Arabidopsis thaliana: one gene and its partner. The protein of the gene in region 2 interacts with the protein of the main gene of each other region in a pairwise test. Each region holds a gene or a part of one and is shown on either strand. Other genes may lie near its edges.

What was found. Proteins that work in one complex are often made in the same cells at the same time.
Region 1: the proteins of AT4G31210 (region 2) and AT1G68185 interact in a two-hybrid assay, tested with the Arabidopsis thaliana proteins (one study listed by BioGRID).

What each region holds. Positions count from the first base shown.
Region 1 is NC_003070.9:25,554,733-25,559,342, reverse strand, and holds AT1G68185 (Ubiquitin-like superfamily protein), read right to left. Parts: upstream 2,961-4,610; 5' UTR 2,940-2,960; coding exon 2,799-2,939; intron 2,685-2,798; coding exon 2,609-2,684; intron 2,521-2,608; coding exon 2,462-2,520; intron 2,268-2,461; coding exon 2,137-2,267; intron 2,001-2,136; coding exon 1,790-2,000; intron 1,338-1,789; coding exon 1,170-1,337; 3' UTR 1,163-1,169; exon of another isoform or gene 1,077-1,162; 3' UTR 810-1,076; downstream 1-809. Other genes in the region: BBX27 (B-box zinc finger family protein), read right to left, coding at 52-123; AT1G68180 (RING/U-box superfamily protein), read right to left, coding at 3,718-3,740, 3,843-4,527.
Region 2 is NC_003075.7:15,162,831-15,168,392, reverse strand, and holds the start of AT4G31210 (DNA topoisomerase, type IA, core), read right to left. Parts: upstream 3,259-5,562; 5' UTR 3,114-3,258; coding exon 3,033-3,113; intron 2,801-3,032; coding exon 2,159-2,800; intron 2,099-2,158; coding exon 1,598-2,098; intron 1,516-1,597; coding exon 1,109-1,515; intron 902-1,108; coding exon 262-901; intron 186-261; coding exon 99-185; intron 1-98. Other genes in the region: AT4G31200 (SWAP (Suppressor-of-White-APricot)/surp RNA-binding domain-containing protein), read left to right, coding at 3,825-4,834, 5,014-5,285, 5,400-5,562.

The DNA.
Region 1 (4,610 bases), on a different chromosome or scaffold from region 2:
TAGTTTATTAGAGATCACAGATCGAACAAAAAGAGAAGAATAAGTTTTTACCGATAAGAGAACTAAAAAGATCAGAGATTGGTGACAAAAGCTTCTTCTGTCTGTTTTTAGGAGCTTTTTCATATTATCTGAACAAATCCGTCGGTTTGGTTAGGATGACGTGGCAAAGCCACGTAGATATTTGGGTGGGGACTTAGAAAAAATGGTGATTACGTTATCCGTATGCACGTGAGATATGGGGAAGCCACGGACGTATGTGCCACTGTGACAGCTTCTTCTTTCACGACCCATCATCTCTAACTCTTAAAGCTTAGCTTTTCCTAACCAATTATTGTATGCCACATGTCGTAGCTAACTCCGGACCAAACAAAAACTACAATTATCCGACTTGGTTAGTTCGTTAATTGGTTTTATTATTTTTCACATGAACTAAAACACATAAATAGTACTTGAATGTGTTAATTCTTATAATTTTACATTTTTAAGAATTTTATTAATGACTAATGTGATGTTTTCTTTTCTATCAAGATTATATTAAAAGCTAATGTTACAAAACAAGAAATATTAGAGTCATGAGACTATATTTGAATATAAAAAATATCAGTGTAAAACGACATTTACTAAGAAACAAAGGAAAAAGTACACTAAACCGAATTTAACCGATTTACCATTGATTCCAGTTTTTGTCAGTTAGTAAAAAGCAATACTGATTATACATACAATAGTTTTAGTTTTGTCTTAGATTAGTGAGATATATATTTATGTTTCTCAAGAGATAGAGAAAGCATAACGATTAAAACCAAACAAAAGTTTAGTTAGATTTTTAGATTGGATTCAATAGGATTAGTTAAAATCAAAATGGTTTGGTTTACCTTATATATTATACACGCCTAATAAAGAGTGACAGAAAGAGTGAAAGAAAGAAAGAAACAAAATTCCGATAAAATGAGAAAGGTCACAGATACAAACACCAGATGTTAGCAGAGAGATCCCTTCCCATGCCCATGTTGATGTACAAAACTCTGGTTTTTCGCAAAAGATGGAACAGATTTGACATTCCAGATTCCGATTAGCGCCTGACTTGAATTCAATCGAAGATAATGAGTTATCATCATATCACAATAAGAGCAAGAAGAAAGATGTGGAGGACTTCATAAGTTACCTATTTGTCAAGTTTTTTTGGTGTGCACTTCAATCATATCATGATCCTCCATGCCAAGTTCAGAAGGAGTGGTTGATGGATCAATCTTATCACCGTCAAAAATAAATACAAGATTTTGCGGGTCAAGCTTAGCTTTATCTGTATACAGTTTGATAACCCTCTCAAATTTCTCGTCCTACAAGAAAATGGTAAATACCAAATCAACATTCTCATATTTTACAAGCTTTAACAGAATATGCATATCTATTAATGAGCGGCTCATTGTATGACAGAGAGCAAGCAATATGTATTCTGTGTGTAAATGCTATGTGGTGATGATACATTGATAAGAACATGAACTCGTTCTCTAGTTTATTAGATGAACTCAAAGAATAGTTTAAAGATCCATCAACTAATACACGTCTCAAATACTCGACCCCATTCAATGATTTCTTTAATCCCTGTATTTATACTCTTGCTTTCCTAGAAAGCTCGAAATATCTAGCTATCTAGATAGTAGCGAAGGTGACATAACAACTAATTCTTATCTCTACTAAATATCTAGTATCTAGCTAGAAAAAGTTTGGATAGTAAGCTTATTGTCGATGGAAGGTTGGATAGTAAGTGGCAAGCAGTGAAAAAACTTACCGCAAACACCCGGAGTGTCTTCTGTCCATCTTTGTCCTGTATTGTAATAACAATCTTGGCCCTGTCATTCGTAGGCTCTGATGGTAACTGAGCAGCAGTCTCTGAAGATGGATTGCGAGATTCTTCAACTTCCCTTTTAGCAGACTCCTCAACTTCCTGCATCACATCTCCTACAGTTTTTGTAAATGACATGAGCTCCATCTTCTTCGACCTACGTTACATATTTCATTTATAATCAAATTGTAACACTGGGACTCTTTCCGGATAGCAAATAACACTACCATAGCCTCTAACAGCAACATGGGAAGCTTAGAGATGAGAAATACTCAAAGACATACAAAAGTTACCTCAATGCTTTAATAGTTGAATCTTCAACAGAGTCTTTACTTTTGTCGAAGATAACCTTTGGTGGAGGAAGCAACCAATCGTCATCACCCGTAACTTCAATCACTTTCACATCATCATCTAACTTCTCAACCTATATAAAAAGATTCAAGTTCCAAAAGGAATGATGATAGATTCAACCTATGAATTGTGAAGTACATAATCGAATTGTTCCTTCACTGACATTGATTCAAAACTCTTTACAAGCCCACAATACCAAAAGTATCTATCAAGTTAACACAAAGAGCTCAATGAGACAACAACCAATCAATAAAAATCAATTCTTACTGTTTGTGAAGTTTTCGCTTTCTTCGGAATTGGCGTCACCGAGGCATCATCATCATCATCTACAAAAATTCAAGCGATAATAAAGGATTCATCTTTATCACTGTCGAGTGTCGAGCTCAGTGACCAAATCAAATAATCGAAACTCACCATCGATACAAACGAAATTCGCTGGCTGAACACGACGATAATCAAAAAGTGGCTCTAGATCTTCTCCTTCACCTCCCTGATCATCAATCAGTAATACAAATTCAGAAAAACTCAGGCATCAACACAATCCCACAACAGACAAAATTAGGGTTTTAAAAATTGGGGTATTGGGAATTCATAAAATTCTCACCATTGTTAGCGAATTTGGATCTTCTTCGTCTGTTTTATCAGAAACCCTAGATGAATTTGGACAGATTTTGAATTTGAATATTATTTTGCTGTGATTTTTGAAAAGACAAAAGTGATTTTGAATTTTGATGAAGAGAGGCATCGGCGATTAAGAAGCACCTCTTGGGTTTATTATTTGTTTGTTGGGCCTGTTTAGTGGGCCGAGTTTTCATTGGTTATCACACTTTTTTTTCAGATTGGTTTAATTGGGTTGGGTGACCATCATAGTTGATTGCGTATTTGTCATTTGAGATCTGTTGTACTTTAGTAGAATTTTGTTGGTATTTTTGAATGCATGACAATAAAAGATGGTACAACAAGACTCATCCTAAGTCTTTAGTAGAGAAGTCCATGGGAAGCTCTACATGAAGGTTATAGTAAACCAAACCGAGAAGGCACAAACTCGGCTTTACAAAATCAGGCCAAAAATAAGATAACCGGCAAATAAAAAGGGTTGGTGAGGCTATTCAAACCATACCTAAGTAAATTGTGTTCGATGATCACGAGAGAGAAAGAAACAAAGAAAGGGAGACAAAGCGTTTTCAGAGACTATGAGAGATCATGGAACCCTAGCTAGTAGAGTAGAGGACTAACCTTATTACCAAGATTTTTTATTTACATGTTGTTACAACTTACAAATGAATAAAAGATAATTAATGCAAATATAGTCTTGTTAATGCCAAAGTTTTGTTTCATGAAATAAACACGCTTCTAGCCTTTCATGATCACCCTCTTTGTCTCTTTATGTAGTTTTTTTTTGTCGTTTCTTATTGATGTGTGTTTCTTCTCCTCTCTCTCATAAGTCATAATACACTTAATATGTAGTCAATAATATTCCTAGTTTCATACATTCTTGTTTGCAATTCTTTAATTTTTTTTTGTCAAGAGTTTGTTATTCTTATATCTGCGAAATTGTATATATTTTTAAGAGTTAAATATCATAGTCAAAACCCGTATAAGCATAATAGAAAAGCCATGAAAGCTATATCGGGAGGTGGAATCTTACCTATGAGATTATGTACCCAATCAATCATCATTCGGAGAGGCCACAAAGAACAAACCCGAGTCCGAAACCGATTTGATCGATCATTGTCGATGTTGTAAGACCCTCCTTCGTCTACGTTACTCTCGGAAACACCTAAGTTAACCTCAAAACGACAAATGGGACAAGTGTTGTGAATGTTCAACCAAGACACAATGCAGCTTGAATGGTACAAATGCAAGCATTTCAATTCTTTTCCTTCCTCTCCAACTTCAAATTCCTCCTTGCATATCGCACAAACCTTCTCTTTCACCAAATCTTCATCCGTGATTATCACCGTCCTTACAGCCTCGATGGCGGATTGCGAGGCTGGTGGTGGACCGATTTGTACACTAGGCATGACATCAGCGAATTCCTCGTCAGTATTATAAACTAGATCATCATGATTGAACCGGTTACTTCTTGGTTCGTTGATAAGATGGAGAGTGATCCAATCGGTATCACTATCCCAATAAGGTCGGCTTGGCCTCATAATGTCAAGCTCATCGTGAAGATTGATCTCTCTAGAACAGAAAGGACATATGGGACCATATAGACCAAAGCTTCTTAGCCTAATGGTACGGCTACAATGGCGACAATAGAAGTAATGGAACGTTCTTGTTCTTCTTGTTCCATTCACAATAACTCTTGGACGATAAGCAGATGTCATGTTTTCAATCTTTTTATTTTTTCGTCGGTAGGATCTTTATATATGCATTTATAATTAAATACGTGTACATGTTTTCAAGAAGA
Region 2 (5,562 bases):
AACAGATAAGATGAATCAGTCAGAAAGTAATATTTTTGAAAATCAAAACAAAATGAATGCCCATAGCAGAAAATACACAATTAAAGAGATAAACCCACATGTAAACCATCTGTCCGCATGTATGTTATAAGACCAGCTGATTTACCATCGGACAGTTGGACACCCTCATATAATTTTTGAGCGAGCTGCAAAGTACTTATTATTAGAAATATGAATTCAAGGAAAAAGTGAATGAAAATGAAAAAGGTTTTAGCTCTCAACCTTCATGGTATGTGCTGTTGAAAAATGTAATTTGTTAGCAGCATCCTGCTGAAGGGTTGATGTTATGTACGGAGTTGGCGGATTCTTCCGTGTAGTACTTGTTTTAGTGCCCTTCACTAGAAAACCTTCTGATTTGATCCTTTGCTCAATGTCCTGTGCATTTGCTTCAGAGCTGATAGAAAGCTGATTTAATCTTTTTGAATTTAAACTGGTCAAGTGAGCAGAAAAGGTGGCTGAATTATCTTTCCCTTTCACTTTGATTCCTACAGTCCAGTACTCCTGAGGCTTAAATCCATCAATTTCACTTTCTCTATCACATACAAGAGCCAAAGCAGCAGACTGGACCCGCCCAGCTGACGGGCAACCCGGAAGTTTCCTCCATAGTAGTGGTGAAATATTGAATCCGATGAGATAATCAAGAGCACGCCGTGCAAGATAAGCATGCACCAAGTCCCCGTCGATTTCTCGTGGAGATTGAAGTGCACTTTTTATTGCTGATTCAGTTATCTCATGGAATACAACCCTTGCTACTGTCATACTTTCATGTAAGGCACCCTGCTGCTGCAACATCTCTATAATGTGCCAGGCAATTGCCTCTCCTTCACGATCTGGGTCCGATGCAAGAATCAGATTTTCAGCTCTGAGGAATAAGGTAAACATAATGAGATAGATAAGCACAATAAGAAAAACCATAGGAAAGAAGTAGTTCATATCATACAAGTTTGAACAAGCCACATATCTCAATAGCTGTACAGCACTTTGACACCCGGAAAGTATTCTAGAATTAAGGAATATAGATAATAGCAACAATAGATTTTTAAAGTAGTGATTAGGCAAGAAACCGTACCCATTTAATGCAACCTTAATGCTCTTAATATGAGTCCAGGCGGAAGATGGAACCTCCCAAACCATGCTAAAATCGTCATCTGGCCTCACTGAACCAGACCTTGTGGCCAGGTCCCTGATATGACCATAACTTGGCAAAACCTCATACATGTCACCAAGATAACCCTGAATAATCTTTGCTTTTGTCATTGACTCAACGACAATAACAGATTTTCCACTTGGCGGATAAAGCGGTTTAGATGCATTTTGACCTCGATGTTCTATGCTGTTTTTCATGTGTTGAGGAACCAGCTTTTGTTTTGGTGCCTTACTTGCTTTAGTTGACTTCAAATGCTGTTGTTCCGACTTGGAATTTGATGGAGCAGGACTTTTGGGCTCTTCCACAGGGTGATTTTTTGCCACCTCCTTCTGAGAATTGTACTGTTACTCTGTTAGGTAAAATAAGCAAGGGTAAGACTATTACGGTCCTAAAACTATTAAAGTCAAATACCTTAGCAGATGAAGACTTCCGATTTCCAGAACCAGAATGTTTTGGCTTGGGAACGCTTATCGGACTCTCATCTAGAGAGACCGCCTCCAAAACTGGTACCACTGAAGAAGATTTATCTTCGACTTTCTTGTTCTTGGGGCGCCGTTTTGATTTGACAGTAGTGGCTTGATTACCATTGCTAGCAGGTGAGGCTGCCGTGGATAGTTCCGCCTTGATGCCACTGCTACCATCTCCAATAACTGGTTCAGTAGAAGTCACCACTTCAGCTTCTGAGGAAGCCAACACATTATGCTTCTTTCGGTTCTTGTTAAATTTCTTGAAACCTACTTTATTCCCACCAGCCTTCTCATCACCACCAACAATGTTATCCTGCTCCTGTTTTGGTGCATTGCTTGCTTTTGTTGAGGTCCAATGCTGTTGTTCTGACATGGAATTCGATGGAGTAGAACTTTTGGGCCCCTCCACATTGGTTTTTTTTACCACCTCCTTCTGAGAACTGTACTGTTAGAAGATATGAGCAAGGGTAAGACGATGATTCAAAAAACTTTACTAGTTTAATACCTCAGCAGATGAAGACTTCCGATTTCCGGAACCCGAATGTCTAGGCTTGGGAAAGCTTTGCAAACTCTCGTCTACAGAGACGGTCTCCAAAACCGATACCGTTGGAGAAGATTTATCTTCGAATTTCTTGCTCTTTGGCTGCCGTTTTGTTTTGACAGTAGAGGCTTGCTTAGCATTGCTAGCAGGTGAAGCTGCAGTTGATAGTTTCGCCTTGATGCCACTGTTAACATCTCCAATAACTGGTTCAGTAGAAGCCACCACTTCAGCTTTTGTGGAAGCCAAAACCCTATGCTTCTTCCACTTCTTATTGAATTTCTTGAAACCTATTTTATTCCCACCAAACTTTTCAACACCACCAACAATGCTATCCTTAATCTCAGTACTAGCGACTTGAGAAAAATATCTCCTCGCAAACGGTCTGAAACTATATCCAAAGGCCCTTGAAGTGGAGCTGCTCCAATGTGTTGCATAACTAAGAGAACCGAGAAGACTTAGATGCGAAGGAAGTGCACAAGCTAACTTAAGACAACTTGAATTTTCTCTTTTAAACTGAAGCTGGGATACATTTCTATACACTCTATCGACCCGAACTACTGAAGAGGAAGAGGAAGCTGGGAAATTTTGAATCGCCCTGCACTGCAACTGCAACAACAAAGAAACAAGTAATCGTCAGAATCTCCATGAGTTCTACTGATGAATTTTCAAACACATCTAAATAACATAAACGAAAAATTGAAGCTCACTGAAACAAATTCGACTCCATTTCAATACGAAAACGACGAGAGTATAATGATTTAGCCATAAAATACCAAACTTTTTAAATTGAGAATCTAACATTTCAGTATCTCACCAGCGTAAGAGTCGAAACACAAACCTTAGCCATGAGAGGATGAAGAGACAGAACTGAAGTCGAAGAAGAAGACTTAGCAGCCGCAAGTGAGATGGTTCTCTGCATTGAGAATACTCTGTTTGATTCAGAAACTTTCAAATCATCCGACGAGTGAATCCGTAGCTTATCATAAATCGAGTAGAAGAAGAGAGATCTTGTTAATGGCGGAGATGTCTGGTAAAGAAATTCTTAAGGGTTTACTCAGTCTCTGGGGTTTATCTGCTTAGTGCCTTCTAACTCGGGTCGGGTATAAATCAGGATCAAGTAGATCCGCCAAATTACCCGGTCAACTCTTATTAGTCAAAATAGATTTCGGGTCGGGTTTTCGTGGCCCAATTAAAACTTTTGGGTCGGTTTTTCGTGGCCCAATTAAAACTTCCGGATCCTAGCAGCAGAGTAAAGGTCTCTCCTTCAGTCCTTCTTCTTCAGGTGCGTTTAGCTTCTGCTCCATCCGATTCAACTATTTTCTTCTCAGAAAGTTGCGTTCTTCTTTGTTAGTAAGTGATTGAACTAGGTATTGTGTCTCGCTCTCTCGATTTTCTTGCTGTTAGGGTCGTGTAGTCAGATTCTTAAGCGATGTCGCTTTTTTGTTAAACTCTTCAATTTACACTGTGTATAGTTTCGGTGTTTCTCTTTGCGTAGATATTGATTACCTTCTGGGAATTACTTCTCTCGTATTGAATTATATGGCCCAATTTCGAAAGCTTTTGTTTTTACAATCTTCTCAGGAACACTTAGCTGAATCTATACAACACAAGTGTTACAGAGTTTATATACATGGATCGAAGACAGCACGATTATGCTGCTTCTTCTGGGTTACCTTATGCTCAGCAACAGCAGCAACAAGGTCCTAACTTTCAACAGCAACAACAACCACAATTCGGATTTCATCCGCAACATCCTCAGTATCCATCACCAATGAATGCTTCTGGTTTCATTCCTCCTCATCCTTCTATGCAGCAGTTCCCTTACCAGCATCCTATGCATCAGCAGCAGCAACCGCAGCATCTTCCTCATCCTCCTCACCCACAGATGTTTGGTCAACAGCAACCTCAGGCTTTCCTTCCTCACTTACCTCCACATCACCTTCCTCCGCCATTCCCTGGACCGTATGATTCTGCTCCTCCTCCTCCTCCTCCAGCTGATCCAGAGCTGCAGAAACGGATTGATAAGCTTGTTGAGTATTCGGTTAAGAACGGTCCTGAGTTTGAGGCTATGATGCGAGATAGACAGAAGGATAATCCTGATTATGCGTTTCTGTTTGGGGGTGAAGGTCATGGTTATTACCGCTATAAGCACTTTCTCTCTATGCATCCCCCTGGAGGACCCTTTGATCCTCCATTCCCGTCATCTTCAATGCCTATGATACATCATCCGCCAAATCCCATGATGAGTCCTTCAATGAACAATGTACCTGGTGCATTGGCTGTGCCACCAATCCGCCAACCTCCTTTCCCACCATTCCATGACCACCACCAGCTCCAACAGCATCTTCCGCAGCCTCATCCTTTTGCGCCCCATGCTCGTCCTGATTTTGATCAGTCAACTCATGCGTTCCGAGGTCTTTCTGGTCCACTCCCTGCTGATGTTGCAATGGAACTAAATGGTGTCTTGGGCAACCTTAATGGCACGAAAGAGTCTATTAAAAGTGCTAAGATTTGGTTCATGCAGAGATCTCCCTTTGCACCAGCTTTAGCAGAGGCACTTAGAGACAGGGTCTTTGCAATGGATGATTCTGATAGGCAGATGCACATAGTTTATCTAGCTAATGACATTCTCTTCGACAGGTATCTAAACTTCATCCCTGATCGCTCTTTACATCATTCTAGAGGACTTCGGCATAGACTAGTTTTTCGTTCATTCTATATTATTAGGAGTCTCAGTCTGTGCTTTCAAAATTTTGGGTTGCAACATTAGATTCTTCTGCCCTAATATTTTCTCATGTTTATTGCTTCCTTAAATACAGTTTACAACGAAGGACAAACTTGCACGAGTTTGACAATGAAGCTCTTGCTTTCAGACCTATTTTGGGTTCCATGCTGGGGAGGATTTACCACTTTCCACAAAACAAGGAAGAAAACCAGTCACGTTTGGAGAAGATTTTGCAGTTTTGGGCTTCTAAGGAGGTTTTTGATCAAGACACCATCTCCTCTCTTGAGAAAGAGATGAAAAGTGGACCACCTGCAAATACCTTTTCTCATTCTCCCATTATAGCAGCACATGCCTTACAACGTCCAGGTACTCCTGCTCTTCCGTGAGAAAGACAGAAACTATAACTCCACCTATGTATAAGAAGAATTCGGTTTAGACTTGACAATATACCAACAACTTTTTATCTTTATGAACTTACAGGAATGCTGCAACAGCCACCAAACAGTAATGTCTCTAGCACAATGAATTTAGAGCATCTGACTAATCCGGTCGCAACCCAACAATTTATCCCAAATGTGATGCCTCCTGGTGCCTTTCCCGGTTCCATACCGCTTAACGCTTCTGTTCCACCACCAACCCAACC